Oryctolagus cuniculus: one gene and its partner. The protein of the gene in region 1 interacts with the protein of each later gene in a biochemical or structural test. Links are inferred from orthologs where the notes say so. Each region holds a gene or a part of one and is shown on either strand. Other genes may lie near its edges.

What was found.
Region 2: the proteins of MPDZ (region 1) and HTR2A form a complex in vitro, tested with the Homo sapiens proteins (2 studies listed by IntAct, with this or other methods). The link is inferred for Oryctolagus cuniculus from reciprocal best matches to the Homo sapiens genes MPDZ and HTR2A.

What each region holds. Positions count from the first base shown.
Region 1 is NC_091432.1:175,926,003-175,929,502, forward strand, and holds the end of MPDZ (multiple PDZ domain protein), read right to left. Parts: coding exon 3,436-3,500; intron 1,585-3,435; coding exon 1,438-1,584; 3' UTR 216-1,437; downstream 1-215. UniProt on the Homo sapiens protein: Member of the NMDAR signaling complex that may play a role in control of AMPAR potentiation and synaptic plasticity in excitatory synapses. Promotes clustering of HT2RC at the cell surface.
Region 2 is NC_091440.1:65,861,964-65,865,463, reverse strand, and holds part of HTR2A (5-hydroxytryptamine receptor 2A), read left to right. Parts: intron 1-2,713; coding exon 2,714-2,914; intron 2,915-3,500. UniProt on the Homo sapiens protein: G-protein coupled receptor for 5-hydroxytryptamine (serotonin).

The DNA.
Region 1 (3,500 bases):
CGGAGGAACTTATGAATCTCTCAAATTAGAAAAAGTTGTGGAGGTAAAAATGTACTGGGCTTTTCATAAAGACGCCTTCCACAGTTCCTCTAGTTGTAACTATGGACACCATATGTGCAGTCAGACATGATGAAAACCAGTTTAAGTAAGTCTCGAACAATACAATAAACCTTTTTGCCAGTAAAAAGCACAAAACAAAAAAACACGCCTGCTTCTTTATTTGTGCACCACTGAAACTTCTTATTTATTCACTTTAATTCTTCATTTACACAAAAATGCTGTAATAAAATATCTGTACACTACTTCTGTTACAAATATAGATAATATTTAAAGTGACTTTATATATTCTAATGTAGGAGTTTCACGCTCTAAAATGGGAGTGAACACATGATAATTCCTCACCAGTTGTCGCAATAAACAGTTCCATCTGTTTCCCTTAGTCTTAAACTATTGTATTATAAGATGTTAATATAAGGCAATGAAATGAAGTTATGTTAATCCCCTTAATTTTTCTATCAATTTACTAATGGCACACAACCAAAATAATTACTAATGCATTGCTTTTTTCTCTGTCATTAAGATTAATACTAATTGAAAACCAATTATACAGCAGATCAACACAGTTTTAGTATTGCATTAGTTGTTAAACCAGCAGTAAAAGATTCTTAGATTCTTTAATGTCTCTTCATGATCAGCATGGTTGCTTTTGGAAAATCCACAGTCAACATGGGGTAGTATCATTGTTTTACTCATAGCAACAGGAAAATATTTTATAAAAGGTCAAAAAATGAAAATGAATATCAAAATGTGCATTATGTATAATTTCTTTATAAAGCTTAGGGGAACTGCTTCATATATTTGCTGTTTACTCAATCATAATTCAATTTTAGCAGGAAAACTGTATAATTGGGGAGGTACAATTTTGAATATTCAAAACTTTTAAATGCTGGGAATATTTTAAAAGATTTTCAATACAATTTTTTTTTTTTTTACTGTGGAGAGGAGGTGGGTTGCAAAGTTGATACACATTTATGAAACTCCAAGATTTTCTTCTTTATTTTATATTTTCTTTTTCACCTAATTTGCTAAACACATAGATCTTTGGTTACCTTTACACTTACTTTTCTTTCTCTACTAACCAGTTTAGCACATAAGAATTTTGCCCATGTGATGATAAAATCTTATATATCCCCCCCCCAAAAAAAAAAGGAAAACTGGATTTATCTATGCAAATAAATACTCCTTCTGGGTCTAGGTTCACAAAATGCAAGAGGAAAGAAAAGGTGATACTAGGTTATAAGAAAACCATTTCCGTATGAGAAAAATACTCAAAACTCAAATTAACATTAGGAAAAGTCATCAACACGCCAAGTTCCACAGTCTGTACTCTGAGGGGAGAACAAGGGTGCTTGGGTTGGCTCAATTCTGGCAGGCAATTCAGGAGAGAACCATCAAAGTGACTGTGCCTTTTGTCCGCTTAAGAATGGCAACAGCTTCTTCGTGGGTTACCCCTTCTAGACTCTGTCCGTTGACGGCAATGATCTGATCACCCCTTTTTAGACGCCCATCTTCGGAGGCTGCTCCCTGAAATTACAAAGTAGGCTTGTTTATGTCCCCCAAATGCTGCCGCACAGCCACACAACAGAAGCAGATCTAAACAAGAAAGTAAATTGCTGTGTGTACACACAGTACTCCTGCTGCTCCACAGGTGTTCCGCAGCTACCAGCAATGATGAACATACACAAAACAGCCCTTTTACCTAAAGAGTTTCAGCCCTGAGATTCTAATGTGAGCGGGAATTCTAAAGTCAATAGCTGAGCTGCGTGGTTTTTTGGCTGTTCAGCACAGCAGTTGGTAGGAACTCAAATTAATAAAGAATATTTGGGAATCTGCCTAGGAGGAGAGATTTCACAGAATGCAGGATTTTCTATCCTACAAAGAAAACCTACAGAAAGAAGCCAAAGGTTTAAGACAGAACAAAAGCAGTTTTATAGGACAAGGACAGAACTATAAAACCCAAGGTTTTGCAGAAGCAACCAGCCCACATAAACACTGACTGGAGCAGGATAAGGCCTGACTCCTGCATGTAGAACCTACTGCTAATTCTAATTTTTTTCCCCTATGGCTTTGAAAATGCTGTTCAAGCTGTCTTAGTTGTTACTTCCTAAGGGTAGATGGTTTCTTCATTTCCAATGGGGCCTAAATGATTAAGATTAAACACACACATTGCTGTTTAAAAGAGAACCACATCTTAAGGCATGCTTATAGAATACAATTATGCAATTAAATATCTAAGATTAAAAATATGGAAAAGTTAATGAGGAATCTATAATGATGAAATTCTTAAAATATGTTCTAACTAGCATGCCTTAAATAAATTGTTCCTAGGCTGAGGAAAAGGACTGCGTGACTTTTCTATTCACTGGCAAATGCTGTTTATATTTTTGGATATACCAATAGCTTAGGAAAAAAAAAACTCATAAATTAAACCCATAGCTAGCTTGCTGTAGCTGTAGTGCTTTAAACTGGTTGGAAATAATAAATTTACCTCCCTCCAAAATAGAATGAAGCTTCCATAGATTGAAGGACCATAGTACTAATATAAAGCCCCTATAAGAAATATTTGAAGGATTTGTCTTGCTCCTTTACATCATAAAATTATGAAATTCTGAATTTTCTCCTGTAGGTAACTTTACCCAACTTTGTAGCTCTTGGGAAAATATCTTAACAACATATTAGTAATATTTATGTGGGTTTAAATTATTTTAATAGTTTCACCAATGGTACAATATCTTTATTTTTACTCTAAACATTCTCAAGATAGAACTTCCTCTACAATTACAACTATATATAAGTGGCCTTCTTTTTTTAAAAAAATCAGATTTTGTTGATCACAAATAGTTGATTAAAGATGACAGAGTGGCTCATATTCCTCCAATATTTTAGTGGTTAGATTTCTATTTTACTGAATGAATTAGACTTGTAAAATAAATGCCATATTGGTTAATTTGTGTATGTATTTGATGTACATTACTTTGCCTATTTGATATTTCATAACAAAAAATGCAAAGAAAATAATTCCAGTTCTTTATGGCATACATACTTAAAAGGTCTCATTTTCAAAAGCAATCATGTGTAACTTGCATTCAAAGGAGAAAAAAGGGCTTTCCTAACCACAAAGTTCATTAATAGTGTTATGTATACTGTCAAGAGTTTCCACGGAGCTTCAATTTGAGTCTATTTTCCTTTAAACATGACTAAACCTCAAACTGGACAAAAATATTTAATGACCTATTTCTGTAGGGAGTTTCGAAAGAAAATGATCAACTGTTAACCATTTGGCATTACCTCAGGCCATAAACTAATAAGCCAGCTGCTGACCACTATTAATGAATTTTTCGGGGCAAAGCAGTTGGTTAGAATGTGCAAGCTTACCTTTGCAAACACAGTTTTAACGTAAATGGGTAAGTCTCCATGAGGGCTGCCATAGCCTCCTACTA
Region 2 (3,500 bases), on another chromosome or scaffold:
TTTTGAATCACTTTTTGTTTGTGCCTTTATACTCCCAAACAGTCAGCCTTCAAGGGAGCGCAGTTTTATCTTTGTCACACAGTTTTCCGCACTTTTCGTAGAATGGCCCAACCTTTCCAGTTAGCTTGGAGCATTTGCAGGAAGAGCACTGGCAATGGAATGGACTGAATGCTACAGGAGTCCCCAATTAGCCTAAGTGGATTACTCCCGTTCTAACTGTTCCCTGCCCTAAGAAGCCAGTATGAGAGCGAGCCTTTGAATTATACCCCTAACTCTTTAAAAATGCATGTGTGTCAACGCCTCCTTTCTGGGATACAGCAGAGTAGAAGACCGTCTTGCTTTCATTTCCGGTTTTCAAATAGGCAAACCTCACAGCAAAGTCAATAAACACTGGGACGACTTCAGCCAGGCACAGAACATGATATTTTCTGCAAATGCTAAAAAAATACAGCCAGATTGAGAGCCGGACAATTGAAACATCACCAGTCACCCAGAGCTCAGGTACAGGTTCCAAGAGCCGTCTTGATTAGTTGGGCAAGCTTGAGGGGCTAACAGGTTAGGGTTTTTTTTGTTTTTTTTTTTTAAATCATCCCAACCCTGAAGCGTGTGTGATGAAGGAGGGCAGACAGTTTGCACAGGGCTGCTGCGCATAGCAAAGCCAGCCCCACCCCCACTGCCACCTTGACCATAAGTATCACATCCGAATGATCTCATTAAATTTGCTTGTCATTTCCCCAGACTTGCTGGAAAGAGGTCCTCGCAACCCAAAACCCCGCCCCACTTCGGAATCCAACTCAGAGGGGTGGCTTAAACAGGAACGGCTGCAAGAAGGCAGTCGTGACCCCTGGTACCACCCACTCGGGGTGCAACGGCGCCCCCTTGCGGCAGCTGCTCTGCACTTAGCCTGTTCCAACAAGGGTGCCACCGGTTCCCGAGACCGGAGCCACCCCTCCCAAGGAAGTGCCCCCTCCTTATCTAGGCCTCCGCCACCTCCTGGTAGGGGAAAGCCCCTCCAACAGCAGACATCAGATCCGAACAGGAGAAGCCAGCTTCCGCTCCAGGCAGTGTTGAAGGCTTATTTTTAAATTCAAATTCGTCCCATTTTGACTGAAAGGGTCTGAAATAATAGGCTTGTATCCTTCACCCTTTGTCTAAATAACCCTGGTAGCATTTGTGTGGTAGGGAAAGCAGAGTTGTATGTGGAAAGTTTGTTCAGTTTTGTAGGTCTGTAATAGAAAGTATGCTTTGTAAGTTTTCTTACATGCAGGCAGAGCTAACCCTCACTGCTCCTACGGTTATCAGGATTAATGGTTATATAGCCATCGATTCCCTTCCAAAACTCAAAGAAGGACACTTTGCTTACATGCATAAAGTATGCCCTACTTTCTAGTACAGCAGGTGAGCCATCATGCACCTAATAATGGAGTTGTCTGTCTTTTTAACACTTTATGGTTGGAACCAACATCTTCCCACCCTCCTGAAATGATTTCCCTGGGCTGCTCTTTGCCTGGGCATCAGGACTTACCCTAAGGCTAGCCTGCTGACTGACAGTGCAACCAGGGATGAGAACCACTGCCTTACGCAGCAGCTCTCAACGTGGGATCGTGAACCAGTTGACATCACCATCACCTGGAACCTACTTAAAAAAAGTTAGCTTGGGCCCGCCCCAGCCTCACTAGGTCAGGACCTCTGCGGCAGGTGCAGCAGCCCGTTTTAAGCAGCCATCTAGGCTGTTGCTCACTCAAGTTTGTGAACAACTGCCTCCAAAAAGCAACTCAGAACAAAGACATCCATACTTTTCTTCAATTCATCCCCTCACACTCAAAATACAACTTTAGTACTAACAGTGTTATTAGAATCTCATCCTTCTGAACAAAGACATATTCCCAGTGTGGATTTTTAATTTAGTTATCATCTTGCACTATCTTTACCATCACTGTATGGGATTGGACCATGGAACTCAATGGCTAAGAGACAGTCCCTAACTTTAGGGACCTACAATCTGGAGAAATACACGTACGGGTAAATAACAGCAGTGTAGTGTGGAAGCTGTGCTAACAGAGGACCCCAAAGCATGTACATACTTTAAGTCAAACTTTAAGATTTGAAAGGCAGAGTTATGGAGCAAAAACAGAGGCAAGTCATCCTTTTGACATAAATTGTCAAGACCCAATACAGTGATGTAGTGGGTCAAGTGGCCGCCTGCAGCACTGACGTCCCATGTGGGTGCTGGTTTGATACCTGGCTGCTCTACTTGGGACCTGGCTCCCTGCTTATGTGTCTGGGAAAGCAGGGGATTGCCCAAATGCTCGGGTCCCTGTATCCATGTGGGAGACGTAGAAGCAGCTCGTGGTTTCTGCCAGGCCCAGCCTTGGCTATTGTAGCCATTTTGGGGAGTGAACCAGCAAATGGAAGATTTGTCTCTCCCAATTCTGATTTTCAAATGAATCTTAAGAAGAGAAGGCCCCTCAAGAGGGACAATTTGAATATGCCTCACTGCACTGACATAATTTCAGGTATTAGAAACTTGTGAACCCCCTATTCACAGCCAGCAGGACTTAATGTAGTTAAAGACAGTTGCTAGCAAGCACTGTTCCTTTCATTGCCCTTTGCCATCACCTCTGCCTGTCTGAGACAAACTTATCACAGGGTATGACCCACACACCCCAAGAGGCGCAAGACTGCTTCCTGATATGGTCCTTCTGCATCCCAGGGTACAGGTGGCCTCTGCCCAGCAAGCTCTGTGCAGTCTGGATTTACTTGGATGTACTCTTCTCCACGGCTTCCATCATGCACCTCTGTGCCATCTCACTTGACCGCTACGTGGCCATCCAGAATCCCATCCACCACAGCCGCTTCAACTCCAGAACAAAGGCCTTTCTGAAGATCATTGCCGTTTGGACCATCTCTGTAGGTGAGTGGGAACACATTTCAGCATCACCTTAGAAATGGCAGTGTGACTTTCCAAAGAGACTTGCTCTGTTTCAGTGCACTGAGCCCTGACATCCTGTATCTATGTTACCCGTCTCAAGATGTGTTTCAACATAGTAATGACGAGAAGTGCTTTAGGAAAGGAAATCTGTTTATGTCATTGCCCGCCAATGTGAATGTGTATTGCTTTGCATATCATACAAATGCTAGTAAGGTTTAACACACACACAGGAATAATGGCACTATTCTCCCCAAGTCACATTCAAGGTCACTAAACCTGGGTGTTTCCCAGAGACCTCATTTTCTATCATTGCTGAACCTGTGGTCAGTCTAAGGATGCAGATCTCATACTCAAGAACTAAGAGTGCCTTAGAGTGTAGAAAAAAGTTCCAGGTGACCAGATTCCATAGCTCAGAAGGAAAAGGTGTGGATGGAACTAAGTGGCAAAACTTGCTTAGGAGCAATGCATTTCAGCTTTCCCATGGCCTCTGTGGCCTCTCTTCCTGCTATGACACCACACCAAGTGATTCAACCCTCTTGGCTAGGTTGACCATACACCCACCCTCTTG